Linked DNA regions of Drosophila melanogaster. The gene in region 1 interacts genetically with each later gene. Each region holds a gene or a part of one and is shown on either strand. Other genes may lie near its edges.

Region 1 (8,639 bases):
AATGAAAGCTTACTATGCCATTATTGTATTTCAAATTTATGAGTAAATAGAAAAATTATTATTATAGTCCTTACAATTACCTAAATGTCTTAACTAATTTTAAGTGCTGGGGGTTAAAATGTTTTCGTATCAGCAGGCGACTTAAAGCCCGTCACTTGGTTAAAGACAAAAGACAAGCCTTTGGCGACAGAATCGGTTTGAGATTTGTTTTTAATTGATTCGAATCGATTCGATTGGATTCGATTCGAGTTGAATTGAATTGACTTTCTGTCAGTCTGTGTGTCGGCTGCTGGCAGTATGTTCGTCGCCATTTGCTGACAGGCGCTATTACAATTTTATTAACATAAATTATTGCGTTCAGATCGATCCGATTCAGTTGCGAGTACGTACGTAAGTCGCCTACAACTAATGGAAGCTTAATGGTTGTTAATGCTTGGTGACGGAATTTCTCAACGAAACTACTTTATTGGCCCAACGCGCTTTTGATTGCCGATTTGCGTGTGGATTCAATTGATACTCGATCATATCTGCGAAATAACTTGGCTTATTATTTGCTACCAAACAGGCCAATCATGTTGGTTGACACTGGACATGACAATATATATATTCTGTAATTGAATATCCCACCGATAACAATCTTAAAACGATTCGCTCTTTGATCTGTGAACAAGAAAAAGCCGCCAACCTTGAGCCTTAATGATGGCGCGTTTTTAATCGCCAGGAAAACGCGTGCGATGGGATCAAAAGGTAAAAGACTGGAAGTCAGGTTTACGAGGATCCCTTCCAGAGTTGGGGGCTACCCAAAACCAGCTGCCATAGATCGGGCTATTTAAACACCTTAACGGACTTCACTTGCCACATTTTCGGTCGGCCACGGTTTTTAATTAATCTAGCATCTTGGACGACTTACGCGGAAAAAGGGTCAGAGGTCGTTGAGGCGAGCACATTAGGCTGGAACACTCGACTGGCGGGCTAATTAAGTCATTAGCCCGAAAATGTCCTGCTGCTGCTGCTGCCGCTGCTTCTGCGCATAATTAATCATTTTAATTGTCTGACTCCTTGCTAAAGGACAAGGGGAAACCAAGGGACAATGTGGAAAGTGCAAAGGGCAGATCGACATTCCAAAGGTTGCCCTCGAAAACTGCGGGGGAGTTCTCGCTGTTGTTGGTTATTTATTGGAATAGGCACATTTGGCATGTGCTTCCCCGCGTTTCACCAGGCGTCAAATTCTCGGGCACAAAATGTTTTCATTCCGGTTAATTGAGTTAATTGAGTTTTGAGGCAACCCTTTTTCTGTGGCCTGGCGAAATCACTTAGGCCACTTACGAGCAAGCATTTAGAAATACATTTGAAAACTAAATTAAACACAGGGTCTAAGTAAATTTGCTTATTTCGAAGTATGCAACTTTAGCATGGCTTTACTCGCGCTTCAAGTGATATATTTAAACTCAATATTCTAAATTCAAACTGTTTAAAATTTACAATTTGGACAGATCTACATAGGTACTATTTCTAAACAAGCAAAAGCGCAGTCCACAAAATTCTTAATATGTTTCATAAATCATTTCTACACAACATAATCTAACAAATATTTTCAAAAAATTGTAAGTACCAAACACGATAGATGACACGATAAACAATATTTTATGGCTTTAATAAACAACATTGCCTTCTCAAAACTGCTACTTTATAGCAGTTATATAGTCTTAGCGACAATGTAAAACTTTGCCAATCAGTAGCAAGCCCGCACTTTCCACCGGCAACACCCACCCACTGAATGACGCTGTCATCAAGAATGACGTAGGCGACTACCCCGGAATATTTCTGCAATTTCTGTAGTGTCAAGTTGAAGTTCATTCATACACACATATGGGTATCTGCACCATGTGATTTTTTATAAGCGCCTTCTAAATAGATAAGATAAACTTGTATTCAACGAAATTCGCGCATAGCTGCCTTAACTTTTAAATTTGCCGTGTGACAGTATTTTTGGGGCTAAATTTTGGTCAACATCTAAAATTAGCAAAAATTTCGGTTGGTCAGAAATAGGTTTTGTGGTTTATTGCAGCCACAGGCAAATGAGTTGGTCAAAGTTCAAACCTTATCAGTGCGAATACAACGATGCGATTAGCACCTATCGTGAGTTGGCTTTCCCACGCGACTGATTCACTGGCAATGTTTAGCCGAATAATAAAGGGTACTGGGTGACGCTTGTTGTTGCACTTTGTGTTGTTAGTTAATTGGTATTTGTGCAAGTCCACGCTACCTGGCGAAATACGTCAAAAGCACTGGAAAAGGTCTACGCGCCAAAAAGCACAACCGCCACCAAACGCAATCCAATCAAAAACAAAAAGCAACTGCAATCTCTCCCTTTCACAATGTCTGTTTGAAAACCGTCACGTGATTTGTCGCCGTCGACTTAGGGGGCTCATTATAGTGACAGAACTCTAACAAAAATTAGTAGACTACTGTATTTTATATATATATATATATATATTTTTTTTTTTATATATAGAACATTTTAGTTGAGCTTTATGTTCGAAAGTTGTTTTTCTAGTGACAGATAACACCTTGTAGCCTACATTGTGGCCCAAAAAATTTCAGAATTTTCGGTTAGATAGTTACCATGTAACCGTTTAAGATATTTAGAGTAAGAAAAAGTAGGCTTCATAAATGATTAAGATGACTACAGTTAACCACCCCAAACACTAACAGAATTTGTTTGTTTTACTTAAAATCCAAAAATAATTTTCTAAATACAACAAATAAGTACACAAAAAATAAAAAAAAATTGATTCATATTTTGCATTTAATGTTTGAGTACAATGTTGAGCTAGTAACACAGTAGTTTTTAACCACTCATTAAAATTTATAATTTATTCAGCTACAAAGTATAAATTAGCAACGAACGAAATACAAATCTTTTATAACGGTGTTTTTGATTCTGACGCTAATGTATGATGAATCAACGAGTTGGCAGCGTTTCAATCACTTGAGCCGCAGTTTCGTCAGATCGGAAGGATGAATTGGGAATAACAGATAAACCCCATATCACACCTAGGGAACCGACCGACCACCATTCACTACAGCTGACCACCGACCACCATTCTTGGCGTTTACCTTACTCGCCCACTACTTGCTCTCACTCTCTCCGTCTCCCTCCCGCCGAACCGCACCGCATCGCACTCTCTCTCTCGTGCTCGTTCCGTCGCAAACGTGCTCGGCGTGAACGCACGAAGCGTCGCCTCATCGACAGGGTCTTTTTGCTCATGGCTTCAGTCTCTGACTAGCACGCTTGGGGAACACACAGTGAGCGGAGCGTCCGCAGTCGCAGTAGCACTCGAAGTCCGCTTATCCGCATCCGCAGCGTTTTCGAATTTTTCAGACCTACCATTCGATCCGATCCGATCCATCTGGCACATCCTAACCATCTCTAATCGTAACCCCATCATCGTGATCGCGTCCGTAATCGCTCCGTTTTAACGTACTCGATGTTCCGGTTTTGTGTGCAATCGTTTTCAAAGGAGATCGAAACAATAATCTCGGCGGATAGGAAATTTGAAACACGAATGTTCGTTTCGCAATCCAAGAGAGTCGTTACAATTTGAAAAGCCCGCAATAAAAAAAAAAAATCGTTTAGATGCGAGCAATTCGAAGATCGGAAAATATATAAAAAAATAAATATATATATATGATTTGTGCTGTGTTTGAAAAAGGAATATAAGAAAAAAATTATGAAAATGTTGAATTGTTGTTGCCGTAAGTTTTAAAGTGTGCAAAGTGCAACTCTCTGAAAATCAACGAAGAATACAACGCGTCCAAAAAAAGAATCGTAAAACTGAAAAAAAAGCAAACAAACATAAAACCTAGGTGCGTAATTTTCTGTTTCAACGCTGTTACATAAGTTCTTTTTTTTAATAAGTTTGTTGTTCCTCCAAGTATTTGTTCGAATGTTGCAAAATATTTCATTGGATTTCGGTCTTTGGAGCTTAGCAAAAGCAAGCCTAAAATTATTGAAAGTTTCAAGTTTGCCGAACGGAAAAAATATATGTTTTTCTGTATTATTAGATTTGATGTTTTGAAATACTAAAATTTATAAAGAGTTTCAGTGTTCTTTGGTCGCGCAATGTTGGGCATTTAAATAAAATATTTTGAATACGTTGAAATGTGGCAATTTGTTTGGTAACTTTCAAAATAAATTTAAAACATTTTCCACTTGGCAGCGGGCCGAGTAATAAGTGTATTTAAATGACCCACGAGGGAAAGTAATTAAATAGCAATATGTATAAAAACGAAATAAATTGATTTCAACAAACAAATAGCAAGCTAAAGCAAATGGGCAAAAACTTAATTTATATTAGTGGCATGCTAATTGAAATAATTTAGTTCATATTTGATTTGATTGATCAATACCTGTGCAGAATGATATTCACTTAAAACGTAATCTGATTGCATTTAGGTATAAGCGAATTAAATTTGATTTGCAGCCTAGTTTTTCCAAGTACTTTTCCGCGTTTATCTGCCCCAAATAAACAATTGGTAAAGCAAACAAAATGTAGCAAAATGTTTTTTTTTGCCAACCGGTGAAAGCAAACGACCTTAGGAGAACCCACTCTATGAAAGCGAAATTCATATAAATTTAAGCACACGATCTTTGGGATTATTTATAGTTTTTTTTTTTGCAAAACGCATATACATTTGCGAATCTTTATCGCCGTCTTGAAATGTATCTGTATCTGCGTATATGCGAATTGTGCGTATCTCTATTTGCAAACGCACGCAGGCGCTTTTAATCTCATTTCGCTAACTTTTTCGCAATAAACTTTTTTTCTGCTCACTCTGCGCGTGCACTTTTTGTCCTATAAATTGGCGGCGCTGACTATTATCTAACATTTGTGCGCTATTATCTAAGCTGGCTTGTTGTTCTTGTTCTTCCTGCGGATGATTTGCGCTGCGTATCTGTATCTGTATTTTGTATCTGTGTGCGAATTTGCGTTATTGCCGCACGCTAGTATGCGTCGGGTTCAACAACTGCTAATCACATGCCGGATCACAGTTTGGACAGCCGAGCGACAGACAAAGTGCGAAATATGGGGATCGCGATAAAGAATAAACTGAATGAATTTCGGCTGTGTGGACTAGCGGGTGATATCCTTCAAAATTAATGGCAGCGAAGAGTGCTTAACTCAAATCAGGGTCATTATTTGTAGAAGCTATTAACTATTTGGTATTTTCAGATTTTTTCTGGTCATTTTTCAAACTTATCTGGGGTCTAGGGAAAATATTAAAATTTTGGTTTATTACCTTTTACTTTCCTTTCATAACTTTTTTATTGGTTTACAATTGTTCCAGCAATAAGGGCTATTAGTTAGTATTATAATCAAGTTAATCTTTTTTGCTAACTTACATAAGCCATAATAAATCTTATCTTCTAATTCTAATTGTATAACTTATTAATAACCAAAAATAAGCGATAAAGATTCATACATTAATTATACATAATTGAATTGTGCCTCTTCAAATGCCGATCAAATTTTATTTCCTTTGCCGTTAAAGTTCTCACGTCACAATTTCATCAACTAAAAAATGAATATCCCCCAAGGGCAAAGAAAATAATTGGCTAATTGTTTAGTACCGCTTACGAAACGGTTTCTGGCTACGTCAACGATTGAATAATTGAAAAGACCACCGTAAATTTAGACATTAAGACATCAGTTTATGCAGAAAAACCAATTGAAGTGATTAAATTGCATGGGCAGTCCCGAATTAATTGAAAAGTAAATTTATATTTTGGTAGTAAAAGAGTTGCGCGTGGAATTTATATTTCCCCGGAGACTGTCGTGCATGCCTTCGGACTTCAGATGTCATAAAGCCAGCCAATTATCAGGTTTAGTTCTGAAACGCACGAGTTGGGTAACTTTTCGCTTGGGCCTGTGACACATTTACAAATTGTGCCTGATTGATGGGGCAGCAAGCCCAGTGGAGCCAAAGTTTGAAATACAACGATCATAATTCGTAGATAGATAAAGCTTATCGCATGCAAAAGAAAAAAGTTTTATGGCCGTGCGTAAATAGTTTTGCGGTTTGTTTTTCTTTTTGCCCAAAAGTGGCGCATAACACTCGGAATATAAAGTCAACCGAAGTCGGCGAAAGAAGGCGGAAAATGCGGGAAACTCAGTAAAAATGTAGCGTTTGTTTTAATTAAGCGTGAACACTAGACCACATAATGTGCGGCATACATTTAGAGACGCACACACACGATCGCACATGGCAACAGCTTTAGGTACACCGCTCAGTTAAAAAGCGAGCAACAAAAAGGCAAAATGAAAACGAGAAAATCGTCGCGTATTTTACTCAGGTTGTTGTTATTCTTGTTGTTTCTCTTTTTTTTTTGACGGTTTTCCTTCTTTTTTTACACATATATATATATTTTTTTTTTGGTTGTTTGACGCATTTTAAAAATATCCTAGACGCAATTGTTGTTTTGTTGGCTGTCTGTTTGTCACATTACTAATACGTCGCGTTGTCTTTGATTTCGTCGTTTTCGGTTGGTTTTATTTTAAAACGACGGTTTTCCTTTTAATTTTCGCACGTAAAGTGCGTGACTTTTAATTAGACTACAATAAATGTGCGAAATTGTGTGGGAGATGAGTCTGCCAGTGGGCAGTGTGTTGGTGAAGGCAAGAGATACATTTTAGGTGAGATACATGGTGAAGGTGACAGAAACCGACTTAAAGTCCTAGGGTACTTCCTGTTTTCAGAAAGAATATTTATAAACTAATATTTAAGCAAATAATTTTAACAAATGAAAAATGATTTGTTAACAAGTTTTTCATTTTGAACTTTTTAGGGAACTAATTATTATATGTAGACTATCTCTAGAAGTAACTTTCTCATTTTATTTTCCTTTCTATATGGTGTCAATATATCTGGCGACCGATATTTGCTTTGTTGTTAGCATCGCCGCATGTGATTGAATCGAATTGCTGTGCGTCGTGTGTGCGTGTATCTGTGATTGTGCCCTCGCCTGTCTCGTGCACTAAATATTTAAAATAGCTGCATCTTGAGAGGATTTTTCCCGCTGCCGCTGAGACTGCGGCAACCCAATTGCTTCCGGTTCAAATCGATTACACAAAAGCGCTGCCTTTGAGCGCTCAGGTTTTTCACCGTACTTTTCTTTTCTACTTTTCCCTGGCGGCAGTGCTTTCCCCGCGGATTGTTGGCAAGTATCTAACAGTGATGCCTTCAAGTATCTTATGCCCGTTTCCATACGAATGAAGTGCACATCGATTAGTGCATTTGGCTGGCTGCCTGAGTTATGTTTCGGTATCTTTTTCATTTCCCCCGTTCGACGCTTTTCTTGTTTTTCCAAAGAAAACTAATTGTTTTGTAAACACGGGAGTTGGATCGTTGGGCGGGGGTATGGGATCCCAAGAGAACCAGATCAGCGACAATAATCTTCATCGAAATGCATCGCCTTGTTTGCATTCTGATGGATACCATCTATAAGGCAGTTGTCAGGGAATGCCATCGCACATCAATCTTTCGCTAAACATTCCATAATACAAACTAATGCACGAATGTACATACGTATGGAAACAAGTACTATATGTATATTTATTCTCGTTCAATCTTGTGACAAGTGTCAACACGACAATGAACGTCAGACACTTAACGGGGAAAATAAATACAAATTTATCTTCTCTTGAACTAGAATTTCATTGTTAGGCCCATATATCTTTGCACATTTGTTAAATTCTTTTCGCTTTCAACGTGGCATTGAAATACTTTTTTTAATAGTAGGCAAAATAATTAACTTAATGTGTTGCAGTGCACAACATTGTTTTGTCTACTTGTGGGCCTAATTTATTTTATTGCCCAAACTAAAGTTGGGCAAAAAACATAACCACAAGCCATGAATAAATTGCACATGTAAGTGAAGAGTCTGGGAATTTGTGGTTTTGGCACTGTTTTTTACTGCCAACCGCAAGAAGAATGAGATACGACATTTACTAAAGAGTTTTCTGGGTAATGGATTCGCGCAATAAATATCAGGAATTAGCTTTGCTTCTGAAAACAAACAAATAAATCTGAAGGGGACACAAATAAAAATAAATATATATAAATTGCCAAAATACGAATAAATATAATTAAAAACAGGAAACCTTCACTTCTAAATGCTGCAACCGGTTATCGTATTCAATAAACATAAAACATAAACTTTATGCTAATTTCATCTCGTATTTATTTTATTAGCCTATTTCAATTAATATTCACCTGTTATTATAAATAATTTAAAATTTTTCTGACCAGCCAAACTGCGTGAATCATTTGCATATTAGCCAAAACCATAACATGGTCTAAAAAAATTTACATATGTCCGAAATTGTAGCTTGTAATAAATGTCCAAAGAGCGTTTCTCGCCTTTGTCTTTATATTAGGGTAGCCAAGCGTCTGACATGAACTAATTAAGTTGCGCAGCTCGGCTTAGATTTATTGCCATCCAGGCGATCCGCCAGATACATGCGATCCGCCGGATACTTTCCAAATGCCACAAAGCACATCTGTCAGCGCCGCCATTAAAACAGCGGCTATTGCAAATGTCAAACGCATTTCAAACGCATAAACTTAATGTTTTT
Region 2 (6,529 bases), on another chromosome or scaffold:
AATATTTCATAAGTATTTAATTGTATGGTTCTGGACTGTATTTTATTTGTGTGGGGCTATTGCTATCTGAACTCCCTCTTCGCCACTTGAAAATATCAAATAACAAATATTGATCGCGAGTGTGACAATGATTTATTTGCCTTACACCTACCGCGCTCGAGATCTTATCAAGCAGATAACGATCTGGAAATTATAATATTTGACTTACGGTCTGAAAGTCAATAGGCCGCGTTATCTGGCTGAGGTTGGGGCTTTGATTAAATATTTAATTTACCTGCAGAGTTGATTTAGACAGAAAGCGTCTGACTTTTACAGACGACCATTTTTGTCAAAATGTTTCGTAGCTCGAAAGAGATGTTATTCTATTATCAGATTCGACTCTAAATTGACTCTAAAGGCTTAAGGATAAAGGTATAATTTTCAATCTGCAAAGGAATATGCAATTTTCGTGTTTTCTCCAATAATTATGATGCTCCTGTTGATAGTCAATTTCAAAGTTTGTACCGATAGGCTACTGGTTTTTGTTTTTGAAAATGTTTCTCCTTCCTCTTGGCTATGTCAATTTGATAAATGTTTGCCCCTTGTCTGCGTGGATGCCACAAATATTTGTGTTTGTGTTTGTTTTTCGTGAGCAGTTGTGAAAAAAGCGAAACGGACACGGGATCGCCGGGCATCTCCCGGCATGACTAAACAAATTTATAGCCCACTGGGAGCGCAGACTTCTTCAAAATGCCGCCAATGTTGCTCAACTTCCTGTGCAAAGTGTGTGCGTTTTGGTGTGAGTGTGTTTGCCTTACAATTGGCACAGCAAACGGGGAAGACATCGTGGTGGTGTGGAACGAAGATGGGGAAGGGGTTACGGGGCAGACAAGCGATTTCATTCATGAATTCATATGTATCTTATAGATACAACGAGCTCTGTCGCGAGTACATGGGCTGCATCGATAGTGCGGCATTGCCATAAATGAGATTTCAGCCTGTGCGATTTCAGTCGTCGGGCTTAGGGCAAATAATAAATAAATATCGGCGGACAGTCGGATGCAGCTATGAGATACTCTAAGTCAAAACAAAAAGTCGAATGATTTGCGGTGCACACATGCAAACACGTCTCAGCAAGTAAAAATAGATGAAAGTGTTTTCTTTGGAAATGCATTTTATTTCTGGAGGAATTCCGTAAACAAAATCCCAAAATACGTTAAATTCCATATGTATATAGAATAATAATATTTAACTGTAAAAATCATTTTCTATAGCTTAACAAAATCTAGAAGATTTGACAATCATGGGGAAGTACACGTTGGGCGCCATATGTTTACCATGTAAGTATGAGGCTAATACGTAAAGTTAAGTTGCTTTTGCTACTCTTCATCAGCAAACAAGCTTAATCACCCATTCGATATACCCTCAAGTAGATCTCATTGGTTGACTAAGTAATTCTCAGCTTCATTTGGTATGCATATCATGAATGAAAACGTCATCCTTTTGAAGACAACGTAGACCTCCCAGCAGCAGAAATGAAATTTTTTCCAGAGAAGTAAATAAACAAAAGCAATAATAATAATAATCGCGTTCGGTAATTTGCATACTCGCCAAAAAAGAGAAGCAAACGCACTGCGAGCCCTCGCCAGCTTCGTTAGACGATTTTAATGTCTTAATATATTTCGTTAAATTGAGTCATTAAAATAAATCGCCATCGACGATGATGATGACGACGACGACGACCACAAAAGACGCTGACGATGTCGGCGCCATCACGATCGATCGTTTGCCACAACTTTCCAGTGGAGTTCAGGATGGGGCAGAGTCAAAAGCACGTTACAACCGAGCCCCGAGAGACTTTACGAGAAATAATTGAGATGCACACACACACACACACACACACACTCACACTAAAGCGGAGAGGCAAAAACAAGAGGAAAACCAACTCGATGGGGAAACGAGATGGGGCGGGGGAATGAGGGGGAACAACAACAGAGCAAGACACGCCACGCGGTCGCCAAGGAACTGCAACTGCAACAATGATGAAGACATCAAGCTGTAAAAAGCATCAGCGAAGCAGCGAGAAAACTTGAGGCGGTCCACACAGAAAAACTGAGTTTTCCTCAAAATGTTTACTGCACTTCCATCTTTGAAATATGTTACTAACCCTAAGGATAAACTATCGTAAAGTTCGCAAGTTTAACTAGGAAATCAATTCTGTCTGGAAATCAATTCTTACTTTTGCCATGTAAGCGTTATTATTTGTAAACGGTTGTTTCTTTTTCAGTGTAGCACAGTTTGGAAGTCACTGCGCGAGCAGAGTCAGCAACAACAAAGCGCGTGCGTCAGTAAAATTTTTTCCTTGGCTCTTTTCTTTTTTTCCGCTTTTTGGGCCACCCGCATTCAATGGCCCGATCCCAACCCGAAAAACGATCACTGGCTGCTTCATTTGCATGGGTGGGAATAACAGCAGCAAACTGAAATGCTTTTGGCAACGAAAATGGATATAAGACTGCATGCTGCTCTTTTTAGAGTTCACAACTATATTGGAAATATTACCTTCTGAACTATACCTTCAAGATCAATAAAAAAAAATCTATATAAATAGTAATGAAAATATGTGCGCCCTTCATTTATTGACATTTAATTAGACTAAACGCTTGCTAATCAATCTCATAGTGCAGAGCCAAAAAGCAAATTGTTTCGAAATTATATAGATTACTCATTACGTCACGCATGCTTCTAATCAATCTGCGAAGAATTCCCAACCGAAGTCGCCCCACAACTCGTATCACAGAGCATCTGAGGAGCGTTGACTGGGGCGGTGGGGCATTGGGGCGATGGAGGGGTGGGGCGGCTCCGAAAAGAGCGGCTGGAAGGGGGTGGCCAATGGCAGTCCAGCCAGCAGCATCACGTACGAAATGACTCTCGCGGAGACCTCGGCGCCCACCCATGTTGGAAGGCAACACACAACCACACACACAGATACGAACCCACACCAGCAGAATGCTGGGCAAGTTGTTGCTGGCGTTGTTTATTATTTTTGCTGCGGCTGCCAAAGCTTTCTGCTTTTTGCCTTTTCGGCTGCTTTCGACTGCTGGACGGAACTCCTGCTGCTGCTGCTGCCCAGTTTTTGCCTAGCTGTTTTTGGCGCTCGCCGCAGTTGCAGTTGCAGTTGTTATTGTTCGGTTTGCGGTTTCGGACCAGCCGCGCACAGTAGCGCCAAAGTAATGAAGTTGTCTGTGGATATGTCCGTCTGGAGTTGGATCGGTCGGTTTGGGATCGGCGAAACGAGTACGAAAGTCCTGCTGTGTGTCTACGTCTGCGCAGCGAAAATAGATGTGGATTGATGGCGGTGCACAGAGAATAAATACTAACAAGATTGGTAAAACATCCAATTTGTTGTAGTTTTAGACTGCAGCGAAAGGGTTATTCCGTCTACTTTTACGGCGAATAGTTTCATAAACAAATGTCTATATTTGGAGGTAAATCCTCCACGCTTTTTATGTCCAGAGAACGAAATAGCAAAATTAGCATATAAGCCGATTGGCGTGGATTTCAACTAATCACTGTAATTAATAGGCTGCCTGGCAAGCGAACATCAGACAACTATATTAACCAGGGAATCGAACGAAAGAAAACGAAACGAATGAAATGAAATCGAAACGACCGGCGAAGAAGACATCGGCGACGAAAAAAACGCGAAAAATATTGCGAGAGATATTGGCAATAAAATTTATTGAAATCTGTCCCGGCGACTTAATGGCCGCATTAAACAAAAGCCGCTGCTCTTCGGATTTACAGTCGAACTTCTACATCATGGTTTTTAGTTAAGTGTCTCAATATTCTAATGACAAGAATTGTACAATATAACAATTTCAAATTTTAAAAAGATTGTAAATTTACTTAATACTTCAAATCTTTTGCTTAATTTAAAGTAAAAGGGATTACTAACAAAAGTTTCGAAAGAGCCAGATTTTCCATTTAAACTTATAAAGGATCCTCCGAATACGATTCAAGAATATTATTGAATTCAACACATGGCTATCCTTCACAGTGAAAGTTCACTGTAGTTGGGCACTCACCTTATCTATCTGATCGAGCGCCACTTGGGCGTCCACCCAGCTGGTGCGTATGTAAAGATCCGAGAATAATTTCTCATCGACCACATCGCCGTGTGTGTCCGGAACGCGTGGGAGGCTGTCGCGGTCCATTATGGTTATGTTTATAGCCAGATTCCGGACGGAATCGCGTGGCGGAGATGTGCAGATGGGAGTGTGCTGCGGAATCGGTCTTTCTACAGTGCCTGCCGTTCGTCTGCGTCCTGAGAACTGAGACTTGGGAGACAGTGTGCGGATTGTTCGTGGACTTTCGGTTCGATTAATTGTTATTGGAATCTCGTATTTTGTTTGGCTGCATTTTGCACTGCATTCCGCATTTTTATTTTTAATTATTTTGTATTTTAAATCAAGAGACGCTCTCTCCCGCGCTCTCTCGCTCACTCACTGAGCACGCTGTGTATCTGAGCTCTCGTTGTGTTGTTTTGTTGTGATTGCTGGCTTCGCTTTTGCTGGGTTTTTTCGACGATTAAAACGCGGTTTTCGGGTTTTATCTTGGGCACAATTTCTCAGGGGAATTTGACAGAATTTTCACAGATCTTTTACACATGGAAAAGCGGCAGTCGGACGACTCACGTATTCGGTTTTCTCTCTCGCCTTTCGCTCTTTTACCTTTACTTTACTTTGCACTTGGCGACGCACACACACAAACACTGGCTGGTTGGCTGGCTTTTGTTGTTGCCTGGCATTTAATCCATGAACTTCGCCTCGCATCCGTGAGGTACAATATCTTAGCTTTTCCACGAGTTCTGTGATATCTATCTTGTTAGTATACCACACACAGAGAGTGCCAGTAGTCGGAAATACGAATAACAAGTCGTCGCGCTCCGCACTTACAACCGTTTCGTTCGAGGATCGCACGCAGTCTGAGAGATGTATCTGTATCTCGTGGATGCGGCACGCCAGCCAGGCCAACAACTTCATTAGGCGAGCGCGCGCCGCTGTTTCTCTCTCTCACTCTCTCTTGCCCAGCGGGCGTCTGTGTGCACTGTTTTGCGCCTGTGTGCGTGGGCGACACTCAACACACAACACAGACGCTCTCCCTACTCTCACTCGCTCTCTTGTTTCGTGTGCGGCCATTTTGGTTTGAGAACGCTCTCTGCGAGGGCTGCTTTAACGATAGCTCAACGCACAAAATACCGAGGGGTGATTCAGGAGTTTTTCCGAGAAAATACCAAGTTTGTTATATAAAATTTATGAATGCTTGTTGCAAAATAAAGAATAACTACCAATGTAAATACATATGTTAACAGAAATTAAGAAATAAAATATATATCTATTACTGTTTAAATATCCTTTGTAAATATTTAAGTGATAATAATAATGATAATGTAATTGTTGAGCATACGGACTTAATGCTTGGAACTCATTGTTTACATTTATACTTTTTATAAACAAATAAAATATGTAGCTCTAATATACCCAAATAGCTCCGCCACGAGAGCGCTAATTTCTATTGTTATTCGCATGCCGTAATTTGTTTTTTTTTTGCATGGACCACCCAAAGTGCCTTGGCTGCTGGTTTGTTGTTGCCACTGTAGTTTATTTTCGCTGCAGTGTGGACCACCCAAAAATAAATTTGTTTCTGCCTTCATTAAACTGAAACCGCCAAGCGATGTGGGTGGTCCCCTACCCAAACGTTCAGCTCTGCCGATGTCGGCCTTCAGCGTCGGCAGCGCTGCCCAATGGAGCTTTCGTCTCAGTGTGTGTGTGTGTATTTGTTTGGGGGAAGCGCGTGCGTGGCAGGCTGCGCATGCATGTGTGTGTGTGTAGCCGTGCCGCGAACTGTTGGCAAATTTGTTAGCTTTACATTGCTCGTGTTGTTGGTTTTATGGCTGTTGCTGCTGCCCCATGCGATGATGTCTGTTTTTGCATGTTCCGATGCTAAATTATGAGCGGCAGGATGTTTCTGCTTTTCCCTTTCCATTGTTTTTGCAGCCTCTTTGCCCCATGAATCTCAAATATGCGAGGGGTTATGAGTGTGCGAGGACCACACAAGTAGGTTTGTTTTTGCCGGCAAATTAAAACACAGAACAAATTATATGTTTATTAGACGTAGTCTTTAAATATTTACTCTAAAATCGACTTATAAAAGAATTTTTTTTTTTTATTTAAAAAAAAAAAATAGACTAAACAAGTTTTTTTTTAATTTCTGAATAATAATATACCAATGGAATAAACTCATTTTCATGCGACAACCGCAAACCGATCTTTTTTGTGCACCACGAACTTAAGCCAAATGACATGTTATCTTTAAAACTTCTTTGGATTTATGAATGGAAATGCATTTGCTTCTGGTGTTTCTCCGCATTCCACATTTTCCCTTTCCAATTGAGGCAACAACAACGAAGTAAACAAATAAGAACTCTTCGAAAAAATTGGCGCTCGAATCATCAGCACCATGGAAATTCAAATTGAATGCAACTGCATAG

Evidence for each region. Genes that interact genetically often act in the same process or in processes that back each other up.
Region 2: of bnl (region 1) and ptc, changing one suppresses a phenotype caused by changing the other (phenotypic suppression), as found in Drosophila melanogaster (one study listed by BioGRID).

The regions. Positions count from the first base shown.
Region 1 is NT_033777.3:19,831,493-19,840,131, reverse strand, and holds the start of bnl (branchless), read left to right. Parts: upstream 1-3,314; 5' UTR 3,315-3,870; intron 3,871-8,639.
Region 2 is NT_033778.4:8,648,086-8,654,614, reverse strand, and holds the start of ptc (patched), read right to left. Parts: upstream 4,967-6,529; 5' UTR 4,194-4,966; coding exon 4,065-4,193; intron 3,919-4,064; exon of another isoform or gene 3,562-3,918; intron 3,365-3,561; exon of another isoform or gene 3,119-3,364; intron 1-3,118. UniProt on the Drosophila melanogaster protein: Segmentation polarity protein. Acts as a receptor for the hedgehog protein (hh). Associates with the smoothened protein (SMO) to transduce the hedgehog signal leading to the activation of wingless, decapentaplegic and patched itself.